2 linked regions of the Oryza sativa Japonica Group genome follow. The main gene of each other region encodes a partner of the protein of the gene in region 2 in a complex. Links are inferred from orthologs where the notes say so. Each region holds a gene or a part of one and is shown on either strand. Other genes may lie near its edges.

The links.
Region 1: AUGMIN subunit 4 (region 2) and AUGMIN subunit 2 share a complex: the UniProt entries of both Arabidopsis thaliana proteins name them as parts of the augmin complex. The link is inferred for Oryza sativa Japonica Group from reciprocal best matches to the Arabidopsis thaliana genes AUG4 and AUG2.

What each region holds. Positions count from the first base shown.
Region 1 is NC_089042.1:6,163,863-6,168,198, reverse strand, and holds the start of AUGMIN subunit 2, read left to right. Parts: upstream 1-1,528; 5' UTR 1,529-1,670; coding exon 1,671-1,766; intron 1,767-2,347; coding exon 2,348-2,458; intron 2,459-3,011; coding exon 3,012-3,116; intron 3,117-3,273; coding exon 3,274-3,342; intron 3,343-3,478; coding exon 3,479-3,592; intron 3,593-3,881; coding exon 3,882-4,181; 3' UTR 4,182-4,336. UniProt on the Arabidopsis thaliana protein: Contributes to the assembly of the acentrosomal spindle and phragmoplast microtubule arrays as part of the augmin complex.
Region 2 is NC_089036.1:1,015,925-1,020,016, reverse strand, and holds the start of AUGMIN subunit 4, read left to right. Parts: upstream 1-1,275; 5' UTR 1,276-1,320; coding exon 1,321-1,458; intron 1,459-1,541; coding exon 1,542-1,589; intron 1,590-1,676; coding exon 1,677-1,775; intron 1,776-1,936; coding exon 1,937-2,290; intron 2,291-2,527; coding exon 2,528-2,627; intron 2,628-2,780; coding exon 2,781-2,826; intron 2,827-3,098; coding exon 3,099-3,192; intron 3,193-3,308; coding exon 3,309-3,380; intron 3,381-3,484; coding exon 3,485-3,543; intron 3,544-3,699; coding exon 3,700-3,768; intron 3,769-3,909; coding exon 3,910-3,961; intron 3,962-4,092. UniProt on the Arabidopsis thaliana protein: Involved in microtubules reorganization during spindle and phragmoplast development.

The DNA of each region.
Region 1 (4,336 bases), on a different chromosome or scaffold from region 2:
GGCGGAGGGGAGGTAGACGCGGGCGGCGGTGAAATCGGCCTCGACGGCAGGCGGCGGGAACACCGGCACCTCGCCCTTCATCACCTCCTCCTCCTCCTCTTCCTCCACCTCCTCGTCGGTGGATCTGGGCCGGCGTGGGACGAGAGGAGGAGCGGCGGCGGCGTCTCGGCGAGGAGGAGCGGCGGTGACGACGAAGTGAGGAGGAGCGGTGGCAATGGCGAAGTGAGGAGGATCAAGAGATAAATCCGTCGAGCGACGCCGATGGGAGAAAAAAAAGAACATATGCGAACCGTTTTTTCTGTAATGGCAGAGGTGGGTAATTTTTCCCTCAAAAGCAGGTGAAAGCAGGGGGTAGAGGTGATTTTGATTTGTACTACACCAAAAGCTGGCTTTGGGCAAAAGCAGCTGTGGCTTTTGGGCCGTTTGGTTGGCTTTTGCTAAGCAAAAGCAGGTTGAAAACCCAACCAAACACACCCTTAATTTCGTGAGTTCGAGCTCAGGAACGGATACGTGAGAAGAAATCCTAGTTATGTGCTTGCTCCGGTTGATCCATGGCAGTATCATGATGGAGAAAAAAAACCAGAAGAGGAGTGATGGAGAAGAAGGCCAGTCTAGTTTGAAACTTTTATAAAATCACCTAGTCAAAAGTGAAAAGATTTGTTCACCCCTAGTCCAAAATAAAACTTGGGTAAAAATTATAGCCCAAAGCGAAATTCACTCAAATATTTTTGTAAAGCTTAGGAAATAATAGGTGGCTCAATACACAATTTATCTTTCAACATCCCCCTCTACGTGATGCCTATTTTTTTTCCATAAAAGAATAGCCCGAAGGAGTACCAAGGTCAGTAAAAGAAGGATTAGTTAATGTTGGTTAATTTGGTGTTACCGAATAATACGTTTTCTCTGTTTTACTCACATTGACCAAAATTTAATGTTTGTTTCCTACTAGTGTGCTTCTACTAATCTTGCATTCGCATTCCAAAGAAGGCCTTAGTTTTAATTCGTCTAATTTTTAGAAAAAAAATCCAAAATCTGTAAAATTAAATATGAAGCTGTATCCATTTTATACTATCAATTTAGTATTTATTAATTTAATTTAGAAAATCAAAATGAAAACAGAAAATGTAGATGCCGTCTCTTTTTAATCTAAGCCGTTATAGTTCAACCCATTTAACATGTTTAAAAATTTATTACTACCTCTATATTTTAATTTTAATGTATGACGTCGTTGACTTTTTGTTAAACGTTTGATCATTTGTATTATTCAAAAAAGTTATGTAATTATCATTTATTTTATTGTGCCTTGATTCATCATCAAATGTTCTTTAAGCATGATATAAATATTTTTATATTTGCACAAAATTTTTGAATTAAACGAATAGTCAAACGTTGGTTAAAAGTCAATAACGTCGTATATTAAAATACGGAGGGAGTACTTGTTTACAGTTCTAAGAGAAAATAGCCTTGGCCAGGACCCAGGAGTAACTGTGCAATTTATATAAAAAAAAAAGGAAACAAGAATTTGAGCAGCGGCTGTGATTCAAAATTTGGGTTCAAATCGCGTGACCAAAACGCTCACCAGCCGGCGAAGCGAAAGCGAAAGCGAAACCCGCACCAAACGGCGACGCGCACGGCGGCGGCGCCCTCGAGCCCAACGCCGACGAGCCCCCATGGCGGGCGTGCAGAAGCCGGCCAAGCGGCTGGGGGGAATGGCGGAGGCGCTCTCCATAGCCGCCGACCTCGGCTTCCCCGCCCCTCCCGCGCAGGTGGATCCCGACTCCCGAATCCCCTTCCTCGCCTCGCTGATTCGCCTCTTCGCGCGAATCCTCGACCTGTTCTGGTTTCCGGTTTCCGATTGCGGTTTCGGTAGATCCAGATCTGCTCGGTTAGGTTTGCAGCGCGTTTCGTTGGAGGTGATTGTAGTAGGGTTTGGTTCCTTGCGATTGTGATGCAGTCGAGAAATGTAGGTTTTGAGTCTAGCATTGTTGGTAAGATTGAGCTCTGTCACTGCAGTTCCGAATGATTTGGGCGGGTTTAAGAATTTAATTCCGAGAATTTGGGTGGGATTGGTTAGCCTTACGATAATCACCTGCGGAATCTGCCCCAAACTTTGGTGAACATAAGCTACTTGATCTCATGAACCATTGCTTGCTTTGTCATAATTATGAAAAATTTCTATGCTGGCGTGTGTATATTTTCATTATGATTGTTTAATTTCCTAGAACTGGCAACTTGCAGGGATGATCATTAAAGGATTTCGTTCATTTCTAAAGAATATGTTTCTTGCAAGAAAAAAAAAATCATCTGACATGTATTACCATTCCTTGTGATGGCTTATTTATGGCAGGAGGATCAGGGCAGCTCAGACAAAAGCGATGATCTAGTGAGGGTTTTGAGGGAACTGACTGTTGTACAGAGGAACATTGCCAATTTGCAAGTGGAACTACAGGGCAGAAAGGTGATGAATTTGATATCCAGTGGCTAGCTTCTATACATTTATACTAGAACTCCACACATTGTCCACCTTGCTGATGCATCTATACAATATAAGTATTTGTTTTACCTTCTCAGATCTGGTACTACACGATATTACTCTAACATTCCATCGCCCGCCATCATGTATTCACTATTTCACTTAGCTTTGGTGTAATCAATATCCTTTTCATTTTCTTGCTGTGATGTGGTGTTGAAATCACAAAAAAAGAGAGCAAAATATCACTTTGAAATTTGAATGTTGGTACATATTTATGTGTACTGTAACTCTTGGTTCTTTAAAAGTTAATAAAGATGCCCAACCCTCTTGAGAGTTTAAAGTCTAAAGCTTTACTGGCTGATGCATGACAGCGTGAAACCTGAGAGTGATTATGCCCATGGAATCCATTCTAGACTCATAAACTTTCTGCACACCATTTCTGAATGCTGGTGTATCCATCTCTTTAAAAAGCTTCTGATCTGAATATATACTATGTGTTATTATGTTGACCATACTGATGAAGATTGGATCTCCACAGGATGATAAAAATATTGCTCATCTGACTCACGTTAGTGAGATGGAGAAGAAGTGTGAATCTTTGGCCAGAATCACCACTATTTTGAAAGATGTAATTCAAAACAAGGTAATTGAAGTCACAAATTGTTCTTTCACTTGTCTTTCTTGGGATTACCAGTTATTCAGATTGATTGTGTGAAGAACGTTCCGCCTGCATCTCTGCCCTATACGTTATCCGATTGTACAAACCTATGCATCTGAAATAATGATCCTTTTTCCATCAGGATCGCATTATTGCTCGACTGCAACAACCTTACTCCCTCGATTGCATTCCTGTTGAAGCTGAATACCAGGTTAGGTTTCTTATCATTTCAACCTGTGATTTTCATAACAAGCATGCCGGCCCGTACATGATTTTATTATTAAAAGAACCATGTGGTTTTCTGAGTGGATCATGTTTTTCCTACTCACCTGTTGGTGTCTTCTCAGAAACAATTTTCAGAGCTACTTCTGAAAGCAGCAAGTGACTATGGGGCATTGACAGCATCTGTAGGTGATTTCCAGTGGAGCCAAAACTTCAGAGAGTCACCTGCTGTATGGGGGGTAAGTTGAAAAATATATTTCTAAATACTACGTTAGTGTCCAATTGTTCACTATAAATTCATTTTCTATTAAACACCTTCCACTTTGGATGCAAGTATTTATGTTATCAGTGGCAGATTTAGATGACCAGTGATCTATGGATTTATTGAAGTACCCATATTAGTACTACAATTTGCTTTGTAGTGCATTACGACTGCTTGGTCCTATAAATGGCTCAGATTTGTAATTGTAAATCTGTTACTTGTTGTTATTGGAGATTGGTTTAATGGTTACTTTTATCTTGATGAAGGAAATGCTTCGACCGATACCTGCTGCGCTTGCTTCTTGCACGCGCTTCTTTGAGGCCATGTCTGCAATGAGGGAATCCTTCTCTACACTTCAGAAATTACGTGTAGGTCATTCTTCTCTGTCGATGACCCCGGGTGGATCCAGTGACGATTCAAAGTTCTTGACGCCGCCTCAGTGGAGAGAGGGCTCAATGCTCGATAGCTGGAAGCAAGTGGACGAGACAATCCCTGAGAGTGATGGACTCGATGCCATCAACCAGAGGAGGTTGTCATGGCCATCCTCCATCAAGAGGGAGCAGTAGGCCAAGGTTCACCCAACAGATACTCCATATGTTTGTGTGCTGTATAAATAGGATTCTGGGGTTTCTTTTCTTCTGTGTGGTTACTGTTCAGCCATTTGCAAAAGCTCCCGTTGGCAGGTGATACTGACAGGATAAATGATTACCCATGACACTGA
Region 2 (4,092 bases):
GTGCTTCTCTTTTCGGGATAAAAATACTTTCGAAAAAAAACACGCTAATTATACGCATAATAAAAGGTCCCCAAGGACAAATCTTGTTATACAATACAATATTTGCAAGTTATTCAATATTGTGTTTTATTTTCTATCTTTTTTTTCCTTTCCTCATATGGTATGGCTGCTTTGGCGCACCATTTTCTGTCATAAAAGTCTGGTTACTGTAGTTGAAGACGACTACGACACCATAATCTCGAGAAAAAGACATCATGGCAGATCGTAATCGTATCATGCAAGCCTGAACATGAAAACAACAAACTTGAAGGTCGTCCATCTACCTGACCACATGTGTATGGGGATATGGGCTGGTATTTTGATCTAATCAAATTATTAAGCTCATGCACGTTGATGTGCCACAATTTTACCTTTTTTTTAAAGCATAGATTAAGATTTAAGAAAAAAAACTATAATACCCTTAACTAAATATTGTATGGTTGGATGTAGGAGGTTGGTTAGGGGCAAGAAAAAAGATAAATTTGAATTAGAAACGATTGATGGAACAAATAGTATTTTATTATGATAACCATTTTGAGACAAAGTTTAAATCTTAAAGAGACAAGTAATTTGTGACGGAGGGAGTAAGTTGTTTAATTTATACCGTTTCAGTTCTAATCATATCATTGTGTTGCTTATGTTCTTCTTCCAGGACGAGCAAACACCCGTTCTTCTTTTCTATAATCCTTCTCCAACACCAATCACAAAGAGATATCATCTATTTTAAATTTTTATGCAAACATTTGAGGGTATGCTCGAGCATAACGAAACCTAGCCATTAAATCTGTTTCTAAAATATAGTACTAGGATTTACCATCTCATTTTAAAATCGAAGTACACATTGTTTGATTTACGGCTCATAAGCCATGGAAAAAAGAACTAAGCATAAAAATAATAATGTTCACAGGTTTTTTTTAAGTCAACTTAAAATGAACCACGATGAAAAACCCCTAAAAATCAACTCTCAATTCTAATTTTCTTAAAAATTTTAAAATTTGGCCTCGGCAAATAAAAATAACAAACAGCGTATGAAATGAAAGACCGGAGAGATGACGAATTTGATGAAGGAGATTATAGTGGACATCCATAATTTCAGAAGATTATAGAGGCATTTTTGTTTCCGTGTCTCTGATAGCCGAATGAATCAGCCGTAATCTCATCCGTCATCCCACGATCCAACGGCTGGTAGCCCCCCCAAATCCGGCTACACAAACGAAACCCCACATTCCCCGACACGATTCAAACCACCACCAACGAACCTCTTATTCGCCGGCGACGACGATGTCCAAGGCCGCCGCCGCCGCGTCGCTCCCTCCGCCGCCGCCGGAGGTGGCGCACCTGGTGGATCAGCTCCAGCGCCACCACCTCGCCCCCGACGCCTCCCTCCTCTCCAGCTGCGCCCACTCCGACCTCCTCCAGGTACGCTATCTCACCTCCGCGAACTCGATGTCCTACCTCCGCGATCTCACCCGCTGCTGTCTCTGTGCTTTCCTTCGCCGCAGGCGCGGGAGGAGGTCGCGTCGGAGCGCGCGCGATACCTGGAGGCACTGGTGAGTGCGCCCGTCCCTTCTCGTGGGATCTGGGATTTTAGGGTTTCCCGTTGGGGTTCTGATCAGATCTGGGGGTAATGTGGTTAGGCTGTGTACGCGGAGGCCATTGCTATGGTGGAGGAGTATCAGCACGCCATCTCCACTGGCGTCGCCAACGCTGGGAAGAAGCTCAACTGCTCCCCGCAGGTTCCACTTCTCTCCCGCATTTTTAAATTTTTGCGTCTTTCAGTGAATGGTGGACATAAAGCTGCAAATGTGAATTCAACTGGTTGATTGCAGATGAAACTTTTGCTGCTAAATTGAGAAATTATCTGACTGAAAATGGAGCATTGTATGGACTGATGTAGGTGTACGAGTCATTGGAGCACCATTTGGCGGTTGCAGAGGCTGCGCAGAGGTTAAGGCTTCCACTGCTCTCGCAGGATGGAGATGTACATGAGGAGGAGATAGAGAAGCTGAGCACCTTGTCTAGGAGCTCATTCGATAGCACCATGACAAGTGCCGCACCTAGCTCGAGTTCAATCTCGACTAGTTACAATAACTACAGCAGCACCGCAAGTGCAGCCACTGTTGCTGCGGCCCCTGGTACTGGTGGTTCGGAGCCAGTTGAGCCTGGTGTTGGCGGTGTTCCTGATCGTTTTCTTGGAATCACATCGGATTATCTCTACCAGGTGCAGCAAGAGCAGCCAGCCATGACCGTGGTATGTATAATCTTTTGCAACCAAATTTATCGTGTGAACCAGTTGTTGGTGGGTTCAAGTTTCATTTTAGTTTTGGATATATTATCGTATGTTTCTTGGGGAATCAGACAATTACTGCTTCACTGCTTCCTATCTTTGTTTACCATTTACTGAAGAGCAATCAGGACATACATTGTTTCTTTTCAAAACCGGGCTGTTTAAACGTTTACAGCATGTACCTCTGATTTCCCGTTGCAGGACATGGTTGACTATCAACGAACTCTGGCAAGAGAGATTGAGGCCCGCTTAGAAGCCAAGTGTGATGCTTTAGCTGATCTGTTTGCAATGGATGAAAGGGGTCAGTTTTTGAATCTTGCTATGACTACCAATTTCACTCCCTGCGTTCCTGTCCATTTTATGCAATGCAACTTGGGCAACTTAGTTTTAGACAACAGTACACATCTTGTATTCAATATTATTGTTTTAGCTTAACATTTCAAATGTGCTGCAGATTCATCATCCATTAGTCAGATTTCAAGTGCCAGACTTCCAGAAAGGTGAAATTTCATATCTTTGCCTGTCTTGCAATGGTTTTACTTATACGGAAATGCTTGATATGCCAAAACTCTCTTAGGTCAAGCATAACATTTTGAGTGAAAAAAAATCTCCTTGTTTGCTTCTGTAATAATTTACTCTGATCACTCACAGTGCATTCTCAGTTCTTGATGGCAATGTCCAATTGTCAACCTTTACTTGTTTGGACTTAAAATATTAATAACAGGGAATTCATGAGACGCATTACTCACAATATGATTTTCCCTTTTGGCAGGGTGAAGTTAATTATTGAAGAGATTGAAAAGGAAGAGGCCCTTCTACTAGACGATCTTGCTTCGATGGATAGAAAATTTGCCGAACACTATAATGTACGTGTGTAGATATTAAGTGATTGCTCAAACTCCACATAGCCAGTTAGCTCACTTTATTCTAGTAGAAATTCTGGATTATATCCACTTACTGATGGCTCCTGAAATTTCAAAAGGTCCTGGAGCAAATTCTTGCTGTACTTATACAGTTCGTTAAAGACAAGAAATTGGAACATCAGCATCAATATGTAAGCTTTCTCATATTCCTATTATGATGCTGCTTCTTTGAAAACATGGAGTGTTTTCAGTTTCATATAGTTAATCCTCCTACTTTGTCTTTGTGGGCTAATAGGATGATCTGAAGAAGACTTGGCTTATTAAAAGGTGCCGGACAATGAATGCTAAATTAAGGTTGGTACCTGCATCTACGTCCATCATACATCACCTAATAACGGATCTTAATTTGTACTTTGTTAAACATAGTTAGTCTTCTAATTGAGTTATTTGCTAGTCAGCGATGGGACAAAACAGAGTTAATTAACTATTTCTTTCTTAACATGGTTCTAGCTATCTTGAGCATCATCTCTTGCGTGACACCTATACCAAGGAAACAGTACCGGCACTACATAGGATCAGGTAAAGCCAGTTTAATTGATTTAAAAAAAACTGACATGATATCTTGAGTTAAGTGGTACATCTTCTCAAAACAGATCCAATATGTTGAGTGCTTTTCTTTTCAGGAAAATGCATTTTTTACTTATTTACCGTTTCTTGCAGGAAATATCTAGTAGAGGCCACGAAAGAAGCATCCAATTCTTATACTGAAGCGGTATGATACACCCATCTTACTTTCCCCTTGTAATCTTCAAAATATTTGGTCATTAAATCCTTAATAGCAATGGTTATTACTCATTTACTGAATATCTAGTCCTTAACTCTGTAATGGAAATCTAGTAACTA